5 linked regions of the Oryctolagus cuniculus genome follow. The protein of the gene in region 1 purifies or fractionates together with the protein of each later gene. This does not show direct contact. Links are inferred from orthologs where the notes say so. Each region holds a gene or a part of one and is shown on either strand. Other genes may lie near its edges.

Evidence for each region.
Region 2: the proteins of FAM98A (region 1) and ATXN2L purify together in Homo sapiens (co-immunoprecipitation; 3 studies listed by BioGRID and IntAct, with this or other methods). This does not show direct contact. The link is inferred for Oryctolagus cuniculus from reciprocal best matches to the Homo sapiens genes FAM98A and ATXN2L.
Region 3: the proteins of FAM98A (region 1) and NUFIP2 purify together in Homo sapiens (co-immunoprecipitation; 3 studies listed by BioGRID and IntAct, with this or other methods). This does not show direct contact. The link is inferred for Oryctolagus cuniculus from reciprocal best matches to the Homo sapiens genes FAM98A and NUFIP2.
Region 4: the proteins of FAM98A (region 1) and ATXN2 purify together in Homo sapiens (co-immunoprecipitation; 3 studies listed by BioGRID and IntAct, counting the BioPlex papers as one, with this or other methods). This does not show direct contact. The link is inferred for Oryctolagus cuniculus from reciprocal best matches to the Homo sapiens genes FAM98A and ATXN2.
Region 5: the proteins of FAM98A (region 1) and RTRAF purify together in Homo sapiens (affinity purification with mass spectrometry; 4 studies listed by BioGRID and IntAct, with this or other methods). This does not show direct contact. The link is inferred for Oryctolagus cuniculus from reciprocal best matches to the Homo sapiens genes FAM98A and RTRAF.

Annotation. Positions count from the first base shown.
Region 1 is NC_091433.1:169,258,098-169,262,677, reverse strand, and holds the start of FAM98A (protein FAM98A), read right to left. Parts: upstream 3,020-4,580; 5' UTR 2,832-3,019; coding exon 2,779-2,831; intron 354-2,778; coding exon 205-353; intron 1-204. UniProt on the Homo sapiens protein: Positively stimulates PRMT1-induced protein arginine methylation. Involved in skeletal homeostasis. Positively regulates lysosome peripheral distribution and ruffled border formation in osteoclasts.
Region 2 is NC_091450.1:7,674,038-7,678,696, reverse strand, and holds the start of ATXN2L (ataxin-2-like protein), read right to left. Parts: upstream 3,222-4,659; 5' UTR 2,704-3,221; coding exon 2,387-2,703; intron 1,602-2,386; exon of another isoform or gene 1,449-1,601; intron 921-1,448; coding exon 884-920; intron 691-883; coding exon 634-690; intron 547-633; coding exon 475-546; intron 172-474; coding exon 21-171; intron 1-20. UniProt on the Homo sapiens protein: Involved in the regulation of stress granule and P-body formation.
Region 3 is NC_091448.1:44,722,475-44,726,434, forward strand, and holds part of NUFIP2 (FMR1-interacting protein NUFIP2), read right to left. Parts: intron 1,699-3,960; coding exon 1-1,698. UniProt on the Homo sapiens protein: Binds RNA.
Region 4 is NC_091452.1:8,882,172-8,885,179, forward strand, and holds the end of ATXN2 (ataxin-2), read right to left. Parts: intron 1,433-3,008; coding exon 1,061-1,432; 3' UTR 922-1,060; downstream 1-921. UniProt on the Homo sapiens protein: Involved in EGFR trafficking, acting as negative regulator of endocytic EGFR internalization at the plasma membrane.
Region 5 is NC_091443.1:24,285,079-24,289,512, forward strand, and holds the start of RTRAF (RNA transcription, translation and transport factor protein), read right to left. Parts: upstream 3,037-4,434; 5' UTR 2,475-3,036; coding exon 2,414-2,474; intron 1,027-2,413; coding exon 902-1,026; intron 1-901. UniProt on the Homo sapiens protein: RNA-binding protein involved in modulation of mRNA transcription by Polymerase II. Component of the tRNA-splicing ligase complex and is required for tRNA ligation.

The sequences.
Region 1 (4,580 bases):
TAGTTATATGACTATATTCTGGTCTTTAACTTCTGGATCACTTTATCTCTAAAAACAATTGATGAGAGAAAAGTATTGTGACTCTTCTACAAAATTTTTCTTTACATTTACAAAAACCCTGAAATTTCAGCATTAGTACTAATAACTAGACAATATCATGATCTTATTTTTACATTTTGCACCTTCAAGTGAATGTTTACTTACTGTTAGTTGCTTGTACATTTTCCTCCAGTTTACAGAGCACTCGTAATTCAGACACCAGCCAAGCACAGAGTTTGGTAAACTCAGGGGAACTGGCTCCAGCAGAGACTGCCTGAGACAGAGCGCCATCATCCAACAAGGGGCCCTTGTAACTGGTGAGTAAGAAGTTATACTTCAGAATATAAAGTCATACCTAATATATTACAGATAAAAATACATGTATGTATTCTTTATGCAATTAAGCAATATTTCAATAAAGATAAGTTATGATGACCAATGTATACATTTGCACATGTAAAAACTTATACTGAACCATTCAAACTTACAATGAACCATTCAAAAAATACACAAAGATAAATGACAACTGCATTTCTACCTTCAAAATATATGCGAATATTGGACAGAATCACATACACTACTAAATTATACCAACTTTTCTGCATTCACTTTATTGTACAATAAAGTAACTGAATTGAGTACTGACACTACATTAATAAATGATAGCTATTATATATCTTACCATTTTAGAAATAGAACTTAGGTTATCTTTTGTAGAAAAATTTTTGCAGAAATAAAGTAGGTTAGGTTTTTAATGACTTCCTTTAAACATCCTTCCAATTAATCATTAATTTTTCTATATTTAGTGAGTGTTAAGAGAAGACATAATCATACCATTGACATGTCAAGATTAATTGAATAATTGTTGGCCACCTGATGAACTGTGCATCTGAATCCTAATTCTCTGTGATTCCAATGTACTTTTAAAACATCAAACATTCATGGCAGTAATAATGAACTCCAATCACCTACGTTAAGATCCTATCAATCCTATTAAAGAGCAGTGTTTTTTTCTTCATACTATTTGGTGAACTCTTAGTGTAGGGTTAATCTCATGAGTATAAAGTAAACCGAAAATAGATCTTTGTAAAAATTAAGAGTGGGAATAGGAGAGGGAGGAGGAACAGTGGTGTGAGCACGGGTGGAGGAAGGGTAGGGTGGTATCACTATGTTCCTGCATCTGTCTATAGGAAATACATGAAATTTGTATACCTTAAGTAAAAATTAAAAAACAAAGATTCTATCACTCAAAATAACTTTAATACACACAAGGGTACTTCTCTAAAAGATAGGTTTATTTTACTGCAAATATTTTTTGAAATCATGCATTTTCCATGAGCTTTTTGTATACTGGTCAGATTTTACATTCTTTTGTAAGAAATACTGTTAAGAAAGTTACAAAAGAGACCCTCCTTGGTGCTCCTCACAGTATATTATTTTCATAGTATTCTGTGAACCTCTCTTTCACCTCACCCTGTACCCTTAAGCACCCAGTGCGACACAGGCAGAAGGGGAAGGGTTCGTCACAAATGTCTTCTGAATGACTGGTTACAGGTGAGGGAGCAACTCAGTTTGAGATGTCCACATACAAGGACTATTTTCCTCACATCCAAAGTCCAGTATATTCCGGAAAGCTTAAGTTTCATGGAAGGGAACAATGGTAACCCATTTTGACAAATAAGGATGATTAATAGGTCCATTTCCTTTCCTAAAAACTTCTACCAGGACAGCAAGAAATTTAAATTAGAAGGCTTTGGGAACGCTCAGTTTCCTTTCCTAAAAAGGGTTTCTATAAAAGGGCTGCACATCATTGGAAAGCCTAAGGCAAAGTTTTGACAAAAGAGCTCTTACTTATAACACAACTAGCTAAACCAGTACTTTTTTTTTTTTACACCAAACTTATAGGCAAATAGTTAATCATACAATTTGTGCCTAGAACCTCATTTAGCCCAAGAGGTTCTAAGTTCTCAAATTTAATACAGTACATTTGATCCGGGTGACCCAGTGAGATAAGCCCTATTTCCAACTTCTAGATATTAATGAATTATGGTTGGGTAACTGTCAGATGCAGTTTTACATGTTTGTTTTTTTGCATGTTTGCAAAACAAACATGTTGATTCTTAGTGGGTAAAGATGAAGTGGCTAATGGTGCTCCACGGAGACAGGGTGTCAGAAAATCACTAGGAGCTGCCAGTGGATCCCAGCGAGGTGGTGCCAGGTTAGGTGCCCAAGTAAGCAGGCTAGCGGAACGGATGCAGCGTCCAGACATGTGGCTTGGGCAAGCCTGGCTGCACGCAGAGATGACTGAGCAAAGGAGAATTTTTGAAAGAAGCAGGGTGGGGGAGCACGGGCAGAACAGGAAATTTGGAGGACGAGCATGAAGACAGAGAATCTACTCTTGAGAGGAGCGGGTACAGCAGGAGGATAAGGAGCAAGAGAAGAAACTCGGGGAGTGGGGGTGGCGAGACCGAGCCCAGACAATGACACGCATGACTGACAAATGCCGCGGGGTAACTCGACTGCAGGGAGCACAGGACAGGCCTAGGGGCGTTGGTGCTGCGGGGCCCCGAGCCATCAGGACAGAAGTGGACGCGGCGCTGGGGTACTGGGGCTATTGGAAAGCCACAGCTAGAGCCACCGGGTGCGGCGTGGAGAGGCAGGTGTCTCACTGGGGCGCAGGGGTGTTCCCCGGGGACCGACAGTGTGAGGCTCGGGGGACCCGTGCCCTGGCAGTCTTACCCTAGGTCTTCCAACGACTCCAAGATGTCAGTCTCCATGAGGTCACACTCCATGCTACTGTGGTATTCAAATTTCCGAGTCGTCAGGCTCCCCTCTTCGCCGGCAACGCGTACCCTCGCGCATGCGCTCTCTCCCCGGAACTTCCAAATCGACAGCTGGCGCCTCAGCGCCTGCACTGCGCATGTCCCGAGCGTGCGCAAGAAGCGAGGTCCCGCCTACTGCCCCTCCCCTGTCTGCTAAAGGATCCCCGGCCACACAGGTTTACACATGCGTATTACTGAGGAGTGAAGCCGGCTTCCCGAAGAAGGGCAGAAGGACTGGCTGCGTGGCAGCTGGGCTTGGGCAGCGCGCGGAGCTCTCCTTAGTGCGTGTACGCATGTGCGAGTCTTGGGGCGAGGCGGGCCGGGGCGGAGCTTGCCGGGGAGTGTTACCTCTGGGCTGGAGAGGCTGTGGGCTGTGGAGCGGAGTCCCTGCGGTCAGGGCAGTGGGCAGGTGGTTCCCCGCAGGCAGCCCGCGTGTCCCAACCTTGGCTGTGGTCAAGAAGAAGGGGAACGCTCACCTATGCTCCCGTCTCATGGCCCAGGACAGAGGTAGCCAGCCCAAGTGCCCAGAAGAGAACGCGCCATTTGATTTCCTTGTGACTGGATTTCACGGCTAGGGAGGAGTTCCCCTTCCTTTGAAACGGATGTATTTTAAAAGTTACGTGGTTTTCCTCAAGCGTTCTCCGCCTGACTTCTTAGTGCTTCCCCGTCACTAAGCATCTTGAGGCGGGGAAAGGGCTTCAGTCCAGACCGAATAGAATACATTCGAATCCACGTAGTAATATCACTGCATTTTGACATCATTTGCCGATGTTAACGTTCACCTCACGGTGGGTTATGATTTCGTGGCGGTTATCCGTTGGATGTGTGCTTAAAAATGAACGACAGATGAGGGAAAAGTGTTTTCAAAGTGATGGGATTTTTAGAAAATTATTATATTTAGCCATAAGTTGGCATAGGTTATACTGTGTAGGCTTTTAATTAAAGAGTTTTCACATTGGTACCAGATTTTATTTTATGGTTCTCATTTTCCTAATGCATAAATTCTCCCTACTCTTAGTAGTATTTTTTTTTAAAGATTTAGTATTTGAAAGGCGAAGTTACAGAGCGAGAGAAAGACGTATCTTCCATCGACTGGTTCACTCACCAGATGGCTGCAATTTAGTCCCTAATTTTGCCCCTTATTTTGCATCCTCTGCTGTGAGAAAGGTTGTTAGAAGCCTAAGGTGTGTCTGGCATGGTGCTACCCCTGCAATCACATTATGGTGCAGTTATCCCAAAGCTATGTAAATGTAACTTGCATCTTACAGATGGGAACACTGGGGTTTGGAGGTTTAATGATCTGCGAAAGATCTCAAGGTTGATGGGTATGAACTAGATTTTGAGACTGAGGCATGTCCAAACCCATATTACTATTTGACTAGTCAATTAAGCAGGATGTGCAAAGATAGAATGTAGCCAGTTGAAATTCCTTTGGTTTATATATTCTGTACAATCACATCATTATAATAAAAATGGAGTATTTATATTTTTCTCACAGGGTTGTTGAAAGTGCTAAACAAAAAAAGCAGTCCTTAATAAGTCAATTTTGAAAGAAAAATGTTTCATTCTTGACTCTTTGATATAAGTTGTAACAATATTAGTGAGTGAAAAAGTGATGACTTCTCTAAATTTATTAGTCTTATACAAATCATTAGCTGAAACGGAGGGTTGCTGATGTGAAGTTTTAAAATATATATTATTATTTAAAATAATTCTATA
Region 2 (4,659 bases), on another chromosome or scaffold:
CCAACAGCCCAGCACAACACCTTTAGTAGCGTAATTGAAGTCGACATTTCGGAAGTGGACGAGCATGACATCACTTGGCTTAAACACCATGGTGTCCACAATATCTTCCCGACGGGGGCCGCCTGCTGGCTCAGACGCTTTCCGGTGCACAGCATCTACGGCGAGTTCAAACTACAAAGGTCCCATTGCCCAGAAGCCAAGAGTTAGTGAAGGCCAAATGACTACCTTGCCCTTAGCCTTTCTCAACTTCCCCCACACTACTCTCATGTGCACCCTTCCTAATATCAGCCACAGGACTTAATAAGCCTCAAATTTATGAATTTAAACTTTAACAAAGTACCCGGCCCTCTGAAAAAAATAACACTTGTGGCACTACTCCGCACAGGCCTGCGATCAACACAAAGCCGCCCAACTCACGCCCTCTCCTCATCCTCCTTCCAGGCAGCTCCAATAAGCTCACTGGAGTACACTGACCTTTGAGCTCAGTGTCTTGAAGATACCCTCGTAGGTGGTGCCATTCTTCACTTTTACGTCACAAGTGGAGCCCTGCGAGGGAGCGAGAAGCAAGTAGAGTGTCTCAGCAAATGGATCCATCACACTCCTCAATCAACTGAAGGGTGAGCCCCCACTCACCACAACAGCTGTAAGGAAATGCAGCATTCTGGAATTGTTATAGACACCTTCAAACACCTGTCAGGAGGGGGAAACAGAGGAGCAGCCGTCAACACCTCACTGTGGCTCTAAATGGCCACACTCTACTTCTGCCCACCTTGGACATGCCAGGCCCCTAGCCCTGCTGAGCCCATCTGACTACCTCTGCACCGAATCTGCCCTGTACTCCCAAGTAGTTGTCTTTTAGGTCATGGGGGGGGGGGGCACTCACAGGTGACTGTGGGGGTCCCTTTCCTGTGCTCTGTCCCCTGTAAGAAAAGGAAACAAGAAACACATTACTTCACTGTTCAAGCCCCCTACGCACTGATGAACGACACACTCCAGAACCAAGTACCGTGTGAAGGATCTGATTTAAGCTACGAGCCCATCAATCAGCAAGATTTCCCAACTCTCACTTAGAAAGAATAGGTATGAAATGTCAGCAACACATTTCTTCCAAATGCCAGTAAAAAAGACCTCGATCAGAAATAACTGTCTGTTGCTCTAAGAGCCAAAGCAATACAAGCTTCCCACTTCCTCCACGGGGCCAGGCTGCACGCTTCCAACAGGCCAGTGCCTGGCGCCGGATAACCAGTAACCCACCGCAGGGGACAGCTCCGGAGCACGGATCCCGAACTACCTAGCTCAGGCGCATTATCTTCCGAACGGGAAAGAATCATTTTCACCCCCCTTACAACCCAGACCACGGAGAGGTGGGGAGTGGGGTCATCACCTCCCCACCTCACCCCTTCGACCTCCTGACTCATTCGGCCCGTTACCCACTCTGCGGGCCTCACCAATCGCCAGGTTAACACTGCTCCTCGATGGCTGATGTAACCGGCGGTAGAGGAGGGCGATGAGGGGGCCGTTGGCGGGGCTGGGGGACAGCGCAGCCGCAAAAGCCATCCACCGGGAGGCCTCGCCCGGTCTGCGCCTGCGCACTAAAACCCACGGGCCTCTTCCCAATCCCCCCTCCCGCGATCCGCACGCACTGCGCCTGCGTGTGCCGCCACTCTCGATTCCATGAACACGCACGCACGCAGAGACACACACACATACACACACAAGAACAGGGGCAGGGCGGCTGCTGCTTGTTCACGAACACCAGATGAGCCGCTCCACGCACTCACGGCCCCAGCCCTACTGCTACCGGGGCACGCGATAGCCCGGGTCATGAGACAGCGCATCCGCGCGCACGTCCGGAAGGGCGGGAGCGCGCGCGCCGGAGCTCCCCGGCCCGCAGTCCTCGAGCCCCCGCCCGCCCCGCTCCCCTCCAACTGGCCAGCCCGGGAAGGGGAGGTAGCAACCCGCTCCCAAGTCCCTCCCTCCCCATTGGCCAAACTGTGGGCCGCGCGCCCCCCTCCATTGGCTACGGCCGGGGACCCCTTCCCGCAGCTGACTCCCCATTGGCTGCAGCCGGGGACCGCGAGACCCTTCGTGGTAATGGAGCCGGGGACCCCGATCACCTCTTCGGCCCCCCCCACGCCCCGTTCCGACGGCGCCGGCGGGGTGCGCCCCGCCGCCCCTCGGGTCCCGGGCCCTGAGCACGGCCCGAGGCCCGGGAGCTGAGCACAGCCCCCAGACGCCCGCGGGGGCCGGCTGGGAAGCGAGGGGGGACCCTCCCTGGTTTCACGGGGGTTGCCGCCCCCTCCCTGCGCCCCTCCAAGGTGCCGGGCTGGGGCCCGCCCCGCCGGCACCGAGCCGCTGCCTCCTCCCTCGGCCCACCCCGCCTCACCTGGCGCTGCCGATGGCGCCGGCCCCTGGCCTCTCCTGATGCGGCGGCGGCTGCTGCGGCGGCGGCGGCGGCTGCGGCGCCAGGATGCCTTCAGCTCCCCGGCGGAGTCCGGTGCCGGCAGCGGCCGCAGGCCCCAGGCAGGGGGAGGCGGCGGCGGGAGGCCCCGGCGGAGTCGCGGCGGCGGCGGCGGCCAGCGGCCCCGGGAGGCCGCCGTTGGGAGGGCTGGTGCCCCCGGGAGGCCGGCGGGCCACGGCCTGTTGCGTGGGGGGCGGCTGCTGGGGCTGAGAGGTCTGTTGTGGCGGCTGAGGCTTCAACATGATGGCAGCGTCCGGAAGGGGAATTAGAGGGAAGGGAGGGGAGGAGAGGGGGGCCGGGGCTGGACCCCCCCGGCGGAGAGCGCGGGAAGCGAAGGGGACTGGGAAGCCGGGGACCCGCCGTTGGCGGGCGGGGGCGGGGAGCCCCGCGGTGTCGGGGGTGGCTGGAGAAGACCGCGGCGCGAGGAAGCGCCGCGAGGCGGAAGGGGAGGGGGTCTCGCGGGCCGGAGGAAAACGAGAGGGCGCGAGCCGGCCCTGCGCGCGTGCGCGTCGCCGGGGGAAGGGGAGGGCGGGAGCTCCCGGAGGGGGAGGGGCGGCGGCGGCCGGCGCGAGGGGCTGGCGCGCGCCGGGCGGTTAGCTCCGGGAGAAGCGGGGTGGGGGGGGCGGAATCGGTAAGTCTCGCACCCGTAGCCCTCAGGGTGGGTCGGGAGCAGCGCGGGCGCTCACGCGCACCCAGGATTTAGGGTCTCTGGGTCTCAAACCGCCCTAGAGGCTGGCGCCTGCTGTCGCTTCACAATGAGCGTGTGAGGCGCTGGGGGAGGAGCCGAAGAAGCGGCGACGAAGATCCGGCTGCCCCGCCCACGCCGCCGGCGTCACGTCAGGATGCCTCCGCAGCGACGTGAGCGGTCACGGCGTAGCGTGAGGTTCTTCCGCCGCTGGGGCGCTTGTGGGCGGAGTCTCCAGTGCCCAGGAAAAAAAAAAAAAAAAAGATCCCGGACTGCAAAAACCTAGCAGTTGCTCATTTAGGCAAGCGGTGGTTTTTTTATTTTTTATTATTTATTTATTTTTAAGGAGCTGCTTACTCTCCTCCGCATTTACTGTCAGTAAAAGCCGGATGAGAATTACGATGATTCGTTTGAACGTGTTCATCCTTGCAGATAGATCTATGCCTAATCCTAAATTGTTTTAAATCTCAGTGGTCTTTAAACGTAAGCTGCTTCTCCTTGCCTGAGAATGAGCCCTTAGAACTTTAGTAAAAGAGACTCTCTGAAGGCCAAAATTTCTAGGGTCCACTTCAAAATCCTCCACCCAGCTCTGCAGTAAAGACACCTCCGGTCGTTAACAAGGTCCGGACTTGGGTGTCGATGTTGGAGCGCAGCAGGTTCGGCCGTGGCAGGCATCTGGGGCGCCGGCTCCAGCCCCAGCTGCTCCACTTCCCATCCAGCTCCCTGCTCCCGTGCCTGGGAAAGCAGCAGCAGGTGGCCCGAGTCCTTCCCGGCTTCACAGGAGCCTTAGCAGGGTGGGTTTGTCGGAGCGCTAAGGGCGTGGGTGGCAATTCTGCAAGTGCTCTGGGGGTATCGTAGGACTGAGCGCACAGGTGAATGAATGTCTGGATCTTCTCGAGAGCCAGGGATCCCACGGGGGAAGAACAGAGACCCGAATACAGAAGAGGGGAAGGAGCAAACAGCTGGAGGTGTCGGGGGGAACCGGGGCATGCGAGCTCGCTCTCTCTGTAGCTCTGCCTTTCAAATAAAATATTTTTTAAATGGGGAAAATTGATGAATTTGGTATATAGAGTATTGTATCCAGGATAAATTACCTGACTCTGATAACTGTGATAGACAGGTGAGGGCGTATGCTTAATAAATATACTCTGAAATGAAAAAAATAAAAATACAAAAAAGAAAAAGAAAAAAACATGTAAAGTGAAGTATTGTAAGGCATGGGAGTACTCTCAAATGGTTGACAGTTCTATACAAGTATATATCGTAATCACAGAGAAAATGCATAGTGGCCAAGTGTCAACAGTTGGTGACTTGAGGTAGGTGTTGTCTGAAGTTATTTGTAATAGCCTCTCACCTTCTGAGCAAATCTGAACTCATTTTCGAAATACAAAACCAGACAAATAAATAGTAAAAATTATCTGACAGCCCCGCAGCAGGGAAGGGAGTGAGGGCAAGCCGCCCGCCCGAGTCTCCATGCTGAACACCTTCCAGTGCACGGGTAAGTTGGGTGACG
Region 3 (3,960 bases), on another chromosome or scaffold:
CCCTCAGGTCAAAAGAACCCCAGCTATCATTCCTTTCTAGGCCTCTCTGGTATCTCTGTTCTTTGGCGGAGCCCAACAAAGTGTTCGTAGGAGAGGCCAGAGGATTTTGATTTTCTATCTCGTAGTCCTTTGAGAGAAACACTAAAGCACCTTGACTACTGGTGTCTGCTTTTTGCAGGTCACCTATATGACTGGGTTCCAAGGATAAGGCTCCACTCTCATTAGTAGTCCCAGATTTTAGAATGTTACTCAGAACTTGAGGACTAGTCCGTTTCTCCAGCTCATAAGCCTTGGGAAACACAGGATGCTCAGTTCCTGAGGGGATTATTTCAGCACCCTGTGAAACCAAAGTGGCAGGATATTCTCCTTGAAATGTCACCTCCACCACTTTATGATCTGATGACTTCCCAATAACAGTCTCAGGGCCAGCACTGGGCTCATTTATAAATGATAAACCCCACTGATTCTGGAAGATATCCCCCAGGTTTTGCTGATCGGTCTGAGAGGGCAGATCCACTTGTGCTGTGCTTAAAAGCACAGTTTGCATATTTGAAGGATAAATAAAAAGGCTAGACTTTATTTGTTCAACAGCTGCTGAAGTTAGACTCACGTCCTGGAGAACTGAATCAGTCCCAGAAGAGATGGGTGTTAAAGTATTAGCAGCAGTAGTTAGCAGTGGCTGACCCCCTGGAGGATACACATTTGCATCAGTCCCCGCTAAGACAGGCCCGTTAGAAAAGCTGGCAGAAGTAACAGATTTCAGTGCTGACATAGGAACCTGGGATAACCGACTTGAAGATTGTGTCTGAGTTTCTCCAGTAGATGATGAAGAGGATGAGGATGAAGATGGTGACACAGAGTTCTGTATAGTTTTGTTGAGGTTTTCCTTAACTTTGCTTGCATAACTTATTTTAGGAACGATTTTAGCACTGCTATTGTCCACTGGAAAAACTGGGGGTGGTTTAAATAGGGTCCACGAGTCCTCTTTGGAGGCAACAGCCGAGGCATGCTTTCCTTTGGGCCGATCATCAAACTTTTTGCTGCTCACACCAGGTTTTATATCTGAGCTTTTCCGAAGCACATCACCCACGGCAGGTTTTCCTCGACTTGTTCCTCCAGGCCCAGGTTCATATTTCCAAACAGGCTTGGAACCATCTACTCGGTTTCCCTTTTGTTCACTATAGTCAGGCTTGAAAGTTTCAAGTCCCTGTTTTAAGGTTGGGACACTGGTCTCTTGTTGCATTATTTTTTCCTGCACTAAATTAAGGTTTTCACAACCCTTGGCACTATTGCGCCTAGCTTTTCTTTTCTTAGGAGTGGTATATCCGCTCTCTGATCCACTACCATCATTATCTGCTCCTTTGCCCATATAACCATTAGCAATATAGCCTGAATTATTTGTTACAACACCATTTGGAATTGCTACAGTATCACTTTTATCTACAGACTGGTTCTCTCCAGATTTGTTTTCATAAGACTTCCCATTCTTTTTGTCCATACTGTTTTTCTGAATGAAATTCTTGGTTTTAATTCCTGCTTTCCCAAAGGTGCTGGCCTTTACAGTCTGCTTCAGGCTAGGGTCTACAACTTGCTGGTTGCCATTGAGGACCCTGGAAATAGGGTTGGTAGCTTCATCAGAACCCAGACTCTTTAAAGATATTTCTCTTTCTCCAGCATTACCATTTAGTTCACCATAGCCTAGAGAAGGGAAAAAAAATTTTTTTTTAAAAATCACAACACATAAATACATTATTATGTAACATTTAAGGACTTTTATTTGCTGTATGTTAGATACTATATATGAGCTATAGTTTTATTATTTCACATCTCTGTAAGACCCTTGTTAGTCCTATTTTACAAGACTGCAAAATGGAATCTACTGTTAAGAGGCAGAAACTGTACCTTGATTCAAACCATAGAAAACATGATTTCTCATCTGACATAATCAATCTACCCATTATAAAAATTTCTTTACAATTAAGGACAGAGCTACCCTCTGGGCAAAAATCATGTTTTACTGATACAGTACTTATTACAAGGAAATGTTCTAATGTAATTTGACTTCAGATCATGCTTTAACACATGGAACTATAACACCTATGTACAAGTGCTTGTAATTCTTATTAAGACATATTTTCTTCATTTTATCATTAGATGAATAGATTCTCATAGAGATGAAGTAACTTTTCCAGATCACAAAGTGGCACAACTGGAAATCTGAACTCTAGCCTGCCTGGAATACATGGTTTTACCACCATGCAATACTGTCTATTCTAGAGATCAGTGAAAAACTACTGTGGAAGCCATCTAATTGCAAACAAAACTACATAAGAGGACATATAATACCACAAGTGTTAGGATATTCAGATTTCATTAAAGACCTTCAACCACCATAAACAGTTAACTCTATTAACTATAGATGATTTAATTGGGCAATCTTACACTCCCTTATTAGTAAAATGGTGTTATTTACCTTTCTACAAAATGTTTACAAAAGCATCCTGAAATCAAACCATTAGAAATAGATATACAATACAAGGATACACACACATTCATTTAAAAACAGCTCTTTTGGGGAGTATGAGTTCAACAGAAACACTTTTAGCTTTATCATTCCATTCTGTTTTTTTCTTCCCCTAATTATTTTAAGACCTTTGGTCTGTGAAGGCTAAAAGGCACATGAGTGTGTGTATTTTTTTAAAAACTTTGTTTTATTTGGAGATATAGGGGGATACTGGATTTTTTTAAAAAAAAGTTTGAGAACCGTTGCTCTAAAATAACTAGGTGTGGAGTAGAACACAATCTAGGATGAGTCACAGACTGGACTAAAATTTTAAGTCACTCATTCTACATCAGGGAAAAAGTTGGTATTAAAGGGCAAATAAAGGTATTTTGCTGCTCACACCAGGTTTTATATCTGAGCTTTTCCGAAGCATATCACTGCGTGACTTCTAGAAAATAACTGTAGAAAACATACTCAAGTGAGAAGGGGAGAAAGGGAGGGAAGGGAAAAGGGAACATCATTATATTCTTAGGATTGTACCTATGAACTATACTGAACCTGTTAAAAAAGTAAAAAGTAAAACACTCAAGGCATAATCATAAGCAGAAAGGCAAAAAACTTGTTATCATTTTGAAAAAGTTCTTAACTTATATAGGATTAATTTTTATTTTCTGGCTGCTGTGAAGGCTGAGAGACAATCAAATCCAGTTTTTCACAGAAAAATTCTATTAAACAAGAAAGAGACCACTTGCTTAAGTTGTCTCTTAAAGGTTCTTTTTCCTTTACAAAAGTATAGTTTCTCAACAGAGGCTCTCAACATTCTTAACAGACACAACTCACCCCTGGGCATTTTTGTATTAAAAACAAGATCTATACCATTTAACATGCTTAACAAACATTTGTACCTTGAGCCTATTAGTCACAACTTCCGATGTCAAAGGTAAGCTATCTTAAATACCAAAAAAATTCCAATGTCCAAACTAAGCTTAACCAATGCACAGATCTTAAAGTAAAATAAATTTTCTTAAGATTATTAATACTAGAAACCACCAAATAAAGAAAAAATGGCTCAGAAACCACTATACTCCCACCCTCAAACTTGGATGATAAGAAACATTCCTCAATTTACATGAAAATTTTCCTATGGCTATCTTGTTGGTATGCAAAAAAATACGTGGGAAACGCTTTTCCTTTTAAAGCTTAGCTATTTGAGAAAAACAAGCATTATAGAATTACTAAAATAAATAACTCCTAGTGTTTTTCTTTCGTAGGACTGCTAAGGTAACTCTCCTTCAAATGAACTCAGCAAAACTCGAGTCCTGATAAATCTAGCATTTGAATTAGAAACTGAAATTACTCAACACATTTGATCTTCCTGTGCGCCCTCTTCTGGATAAAGAGAAACGGATACTCTTTATAGGTATGCGGGTAATGGGTCATAAAAGCCCACTTTTAAT
Region 4 (3,008 bases), on another chromosome or scaffold:
GACGGTAAGAATTGACTGAAACCTTTGTCAAGTTTAGTAAAAGGGTGTTCCAAGTCTTGATTTTTTTGTTTTAAGCGGTAATAGCAGCAAGAATCACTCTTGTTACTTCTTTTGCTAGCTGATGTGTTCATGACTTTCAAGGGCCATTAAAAAATAAATAACTTCCAGTTTTGGCAAGCAGAGCTGGGGTACTTGCGGGACTCTGCAAACAGCATGTGGAATTATGGACAGCCCCAGGTTCCTACAGTGCCTCTACTCGGGCCAAGTATCTTCCACTGCAAGTGAGCTGTTAGCATTCCTATTGGATGTTACAAGAAATCAACGTATATCGTTTAAAAACAAAATAAGTGAACTTCTAGTTTTCTGTGCTTCCAGCTGGTAGAAGCAGGAGCAGGGGGGAGGGGATCTGGCCCTTCGGCTCCTCCAGGGCAGCCTTACAGCTGCTGGTGGTGGTGGGCTTGTACTGTAAGAGAGAAGAGTGAGCATTTAAACAGAACGCTGCAGCACGGCCCACGAGCCCAGAGTCCGCAGCGCGTGCCTGCATCTAGCCTTGGCTAGCTAGGAGGAGACTCCAAGTTTAATTCACTGCCCCCCTCCCAATCTGCATCACGTGGGGAGGGCTGGGTGGGTGGGGGGGTGGGTAGATAGAAACAAGCCAGTCAGACATGAAACCACTTCAGATAAACTCCCAGAAGACTTGTTGCTCATGGGGTAGGAAAAAAGGCCTTCACATACCCCCTCCCTCATATTAGCCAAGCACCAGGAAGACCGTCCACGACCGCCATGGCAGCCATCAGTACTGCAGAACGACCACGGGGCACTCCTGCTGTCAGGACGGAGGCTGCAGCTGACCCTGCACTCGAAACCAGTCCACACAGCACTTGCTCATCACTGGTCTGTTCCAAGCTACAATCAGATTCGGCCATGGTAATAACCCCCCACGTGTCCAACGGTCGGGACGCAGGACGGAACCACGGCCCTGTCCAGCCTGTCATAACCAGGAAGGCCAACTGTGCCCTAGGCATGCATCAGCTACCCAGAATGCTGCTGCTGCTTCTCATCAAGTCAAATCCTGGACACCATCAAAACACACAGACTCGGCCCTGACACGGAACTGACGGTCACGGTCCCTCCTGCGCACGCTTGCATGGGGCTTGCTAGTTCTCAGGTGTGAGGCTGGAAGCACTGGCCCTGCCTGCCATTCGACCTGTGCGAGCAGAATGCTTGGGGTGCCCCGGCGGCCCCTGCACACACACGCCTCACCTGAAGGGTGCGTCATATAGGGGAAATGCGCTGTTGTCGAGACTGGAATGGGCTGTAGTGCACTTTGAGCGAGGGCGGCCTGGGGACCGCCGGGTGGCTGTGTCGTCATTAGCATCATTGGCGCATGGGCAGTTGGATGAGAAGGAACCATTCCTGACTGTACATGAGCCTGAAACAGAGAGCTCTTTTACGCATACAGGCAACATCTCCGGCTTAAACAATATGTCAACTGTGTTCCTTTCACTGGGCTGGGAGTCTCAGGAAAGGGCAGCAGCAGGCCCAGGCCCCCTTTCTTTTCTCTGGGGACACTCCTTAGTTCACCTTTTTGGCAGCTCCTGCAAGGCTGGAGGAGCCTAGATAAAACATCAGGGCCCCAATGACTGGGTCATTAAACTCTGAGCACAGAACTCATGTGTGGGCCAAGGTCTTCAACAAGAGCAGACCCCTGATCCAAGAACAGCTTTCTCAACTGAGCAACGCAAGACCCGATGATGCTTCCGCAGCGGGCCTCCGGGGGCCTGAGCGGGTGCTGCAGAGCACACCCCTTGCAAACAGCAAAGCAGGGGCTGTCCGCTGTGCCAGTGCGCGGTTCTCCGCCCGCTCCTTGTCTGCCTGTCTCCCTCTGCTTGTGGCCTGCTCCCCCAGGCAGGAAAAAGAAACGTGGCTTCCTTCACTCTAGAGAACATGCTGACTGGGCAGGAGGAGGAGCAGGTGCAGTCAGGGCTCCCGTGAGATGGAAGGAATCCTCTGCAGTGACCTGGGCCAGCAGTCTACCAGTGTCTACCGAGGGACGGGGAGTCCGAGTAGGAAAGGCAGCTGCAGGCAGCCCACGGCAACACTCACTTTCTGCCTCCCACACTGGGCACGGCTCGAGACCGGGACAAGCCTGCACCAAACACTGCTTCTGCTCCCTCACAAATTCAAACGGGCCCAGGACCTACTTGGGCTTCCCTGGGTTGACCTTTTGCTCTTTCTGCACAGAAGCACAAACGTGAGGTTGCAGGGACCTCTCTTGCAGGGAAGCTCACATACCTACTTAGCCACCAGCCTCGGCTAGACACCTACAGGACCCCAGCTCCCATGCAGCTCATTCCACCACACCGTGCTGGTCCACACTGACCAGAACCAGCTCCCCGCCGGCTCCCAGAAGCACACCAACTGCAGTGCACTGCCCCGCAGAACTACCCTCGGCAGGCGAGGCCGCCCGACTCCCCGGAGCTGCGGCCCCCCAGTCAGACTGAGTCGCATCCAGCCCGTCCCTCACTAGCACCACGCTGGAGCACTGCCTGGCAGGAAGCCTCAGAGTTGGTATGAAAGGAGCAGAGACGTCCGACACAGCCACCTCGCCTTGCCTAGCCCTGGGAGGGCCGCCAGGACGGCGTCAGAGCCCACCCTCAGCACGGCTCTTCGGCCACCTCAGCCCTCGCCAGCAGCAGGTGCACAGAGCCACCCCTGACGGCAGCCAGCCTGCCAACCCTGAGCAGCTCCCTGCAGGGGAGCTCCCAAGTGCTTCCAGAGCTGCTCCTCAAGAGAAAATGAGAACACCTGGAGCTTCCAGCGTCTCACTCACTGCACCAATGGCCAAGGTCAGGACCCTCACAAAGTACAGCACACGGTCCAAGTGGGCATACGGGTCGTCGGGGGGATGACTGGTGTGATGTCTCTGGAACTCCAGGACTCCCACCTTGGAGGGCTGAGTCTGAAGTCCATGATCCCTGCCAAGCTTGCGTGTGTGTGTGTGCGTG
Region 5 (4,434 bases), on another chromosome or scaffold:
GGTTAATCTTCCACCTGCGGCACCAGCATCCCATATGGGTGCCGGGTTCTAGTCCCGGCTGCTCCTCCTCCAGTCCAGCTCTCTGCTGTGGCCTGGGAGTGCAGTGGAGGATGGCCCAAGTGTTTGGGCCCCTGCACCTGCATGGGAGACCAGGAGAAAGCTCCTGGCTCTGGCTTCGGATTGGCGTAACTCCGGCCGTAGCAGCCATTTGGGGAGTGAACCAATGGAAGGCCTTTCTCTCTGTCTCACTGTCTATAACTCTACCTGTCAAATTTTTTTAAAAAGTGTATTATTACTGCACTTTTAGTGTAATGTAAAAAATCTGATTTTGGCCATTAAATCAAAGACTACATATCACTATTTAAGAAGCTTCACAATATTTCCAGAGGAAATTATTTCTATGTAGTATTCAGGCTTGGTAGGAAGGGATATCATTCTCTCTAGAATCAAAAGAAACACAGACAGGGCCGGTGCGCTGGCATAGTAGGTTAAGCCTCCACCTGCAGCGCTGGCATCCTATATGAGCACCAGGTTCTAGTCCCGGGTGCTCCTCTTCTCGTCCAGCTCTCTGCTGTGGCCCGAGAGTGCAGTGGAGGATGGCCCAGGTCCTTGGGCCCTGCACCCCATGGGAGACCAGGAGGAGGCTCCTGGCTTTGGATCGGCGCAGCTCTGGCCGTTGGAGCCATTTAAACAATGGATGACAGAGCTTTCTGTCTCTCTCTGTCTATAACTCTACCTCTCAAATAAATAAATAAAATCTTAAAAAAAAGAAACACAGTTAAAAAAAACCGGAACCACTGAAGTCCGCGTTTCCAACGACGATCACTGTCGTCCAAGGACGAGTCATCGCAAGCTTGCTTCCACGCAGCTCTGCTTTGCTTCTACTTCCCTGACTCGTTACCTTTTCAAAGAACTTGGGCCAGTCGCTGCTGTGGATGTTTCTTAAGTTCCCTCTGTCTTCAATCTTGTAGTGTCTGATTTTCTGATCTTCAAGCCAAACGATGAAGTTTCTAAATTCTGTTTCATCTGCAACAAAAAGTCACCAAGTCACCAGAAATATTCACCAGAATACTTTCACGTATTCCCCAGAACACTTCCTCCTCCACAGATAACTGGTCTCGTGGACTTTTCTCAACCCCAAGATACTAAGTTCATGGAGCTGACAGAAGTACGAGTCGGAAGTACAGACGGGAGCCAGACAGTAACAATCATCTGTTCCCGTCCCGGCCTGGGTTCAGATTCTGGGTTCTATGGTTACGCGGATCTGGGGACACCACCTATAGTCTCTGTGCTCCAGAGTCTTCCACCTACTCCATGGGCTAATAATATTAGCACGTATCTGGCATCGCCGGGAAGCTTATGTGAAGACGAACAAAGTGTCTAGCATAGAGCTGCGCTGTTTTAATGTTATTAATATTCCGGTTCCTTTCAGGGGGAGACGAGACTACTTAAGGCTTAATTTTTGCCACAGAATTAATAAGGAAAAATGAAATAAGGAATAACAGATCAAATGACAAAACTTAGGGAAGACAGCAGGTATCACGGAAGGTTACTCCCACATTAAGGGCACCTCGTACACGATTTCAGCCCACCCCCTTTCAACACACCCTTATGATACGGGTAATAGCCCCATTTCACAGACGAGCAAACTGGGGCGCAAAGGTTCACACCCACATTTGAGCTACAGCGCCACGGACCCTTGTCCACTAAGTAAAAGGCAAAGTGGAAAAACACACCACTACCGTTTGCTACGCTTCTACGCAAGACGGAAAAAACCAGCACGTAGTCGGCTCGGAAATCGGTTTCAGCAGGCCGCCTGCGGTGCTCTGAGCGCCGCGCCGCAAGCTGGACTCGGGGGTCCCTCTCGGAGGCCAGCAGGAACACGACTTTGTAAAGACTTCAACGCAGGAACATCCCCCAACACTCCGGTGTTCGCGACGCAGCCTGCCCGCTTAGGGGCTACTTCACTTCCGTGCACGCCCCGTGCGACCCCCCGAGCCCGCGCCCCCCGCCCCGCCCGGGCCTCAGCGCCTGCTCTCTGCGGCTGCTCCCTGGGCCGGGCCTCCCACTCCTGGAGCTCGGCTGCTGCAGCCCGTGACCCCCTCTGCACCCTCCCCAGAACCCAGCGCGCCGCGGGCCCCCAGCAGGTGCCCCAGGTACAGCCTAACGACCCCCGCTTAAGTGAGAAAACAACGAAAGCCTCCCGTTGGGTGTGCCAAGGCCGGGTGGCGGCAGCAGTTTAGCAAGTGCAGAAAGTGTCGGCGCCGAGGCAGGGCCGGGAGAGGGGGCTCCTTAGCCCGGGGAGCGGCCCCGGGGCACCCAGGGGCAGCCAAGGCCGCCGAGGGTCCCGGTGAGGAGGCAGGGTGGGGACGCTCGGGGAGGGACCGCCGCCGGCCCCGGGCCGCCGCCTCACCTTTGCAGTTGAAGCCAGAAGGGTTGTGGTAGTCCAGAGCCGTCAGCTTGCGTCGGAACATGGTCCCCGCTTCTCGCTCTGGTCCCCCGGGCCTCAGCCGGGAGAAGAGAAGCGAGGAGAAGCAGGCGGCGCAGGCACCGGCGACGCGGCGAGAGGGCGGGCGGGCGCGGCGACGCTACGGAGTGACGGCGGCCTTGGCCAATCGGAGCTTCAGAACGGCGGCCGCCGGCAAGCGCCTACCAATGGGAGCTCCGGGTGAGGAGGCGGGGCCACGTCCGGGCACGTCGACGCTCAAATTAACTTTATTGTCCGCTTCCTAGTCGCACAAAAGGCCGACAGGAGCCGGCCAGGCAGTTTCCTCTGGCTTTCCACCGCGGCGTGTAGAGCGTGAGACATGTAGGCTGTCCGCTGCTGTCGTACGTAGCAGCGCTCACTGGATCACAGAACTGCCCATTAGGATTTTGGCTGCATTCATTCATGCGTGCATTGCTCTTCCCACATACGAGGTGTTCTTGTAGCACTGTTAATACATTGCAAAACAAAGGTTAGTTGGTGGTCGATCCACAGGGAAACGTAGAAGTATAAAAGCGTGTGCACATTCCAGCTTTCGCCAGCCGCTGAGTGAGGTCAGAACGAGGAAGTCATCGTTAGGTGCCCTCAGTCACAGCACCGCGTGGATCACCACTTCCTGCAAACTCAGATCCTCCTGTGCCCCGTGAACCTCACTGATGTCGCCTCACATCGGGCTCCCGTCACTCCTGCTTACTCTGAGGGATTTCTGAGGGCCAGTCTTGCCTTCTGCAATCACAGCGAGAAGCATGATTTTCTAAAACACAACTGCCCATAGCCTCTTCGGCTAGGTATCTCTTAACGGGTGCCACTGCCTTCTAGAACCAATAAAATGTTCTTACTGTATTGACGAAGCTTCCTGAGCCTGTCCTTCCCTGCTTTTCAGACACTGGGGAGGACGCACTGGGCTAGGCAGAGCTGGCCCCTACTTATGGAGTTTACAACATTAAGCAGATGACCTGAGTGTGACCCACAGCTTGAAATTGGTGAGGAGTTCACCTTGCTGGCAAAACAGGAACTCCCTTTGAGGGCAGTAGATGGGTAAGGGCAAGCAATGAGTGACAGCTGGCTGGGGGAGGATGCAGCTTACGGGGGCTGGGCGGAAGCCTTGAGGACCAGCAAGGGCTCTGATCAAGAAGGGCTTCATGACAGCTACGCTGAGATGCTGAAGTTCTCGGGGGTAAGCCAACCCTGGATGGTTCATTTTATTTCAAGATATTAACTCGACACCATGTTCGCATCGATGGGACACAGGAATGAGTAAACTCTGTTTTCGGGAAGTTTAAGCAGAATAACCAACATATGTGTGTGAATAAATACTTATAATCTAGAGTTAGAAAGTGTTAAGCGAATTATAAGGCCACTGTATACTTACTTAGGGAATGAATCAAGAAAATGAGTTCACAAGTGGTTTGCTTCCAACAAAATCTGGTCAAAGATGAAGCTATACTCAGGCACATACTAGCTGTGTAAGTATTGAAATATTAGTGGAAAATAAAAAAAAAACATCAATGAAGGGAAACTAAGGGAGGAAAAAAACATGCGTGCAATTGCAGATAATGCAATTAGCAGTATGAGGGAAGGGAACAGCTGACTTGCTTGAGCTTGTAGGGCTGCTCCAGGGAGCTTATTTTGCAACACTGCTCAGAGGCCAGACCACCGGTCAGTGCAGAAAAGCAACATGAAATCAGCCTGAGTCACGGTGTATGGAAAGTATGCTGCCTGAGCAGCAGGAGAGTCCTTCCTCCCTTCTGGGTGCGGGTCCGCTGAGAAGCCCTGCTCTGAAAGGCCAGGCCAACTGCTCCTCAGCAAGCCAGCTTCTCGAGGGTGCTCTCCCTTCCCCGTCGCCTTGACGTGTTCCAGTAAATAAAGCTTTCCTCCCAGCCACTGCCACTTGAGGCTGGTTATTCGGCAACACCGAAGCCAAGAGACCCCTTTTGTCCATGCTAATA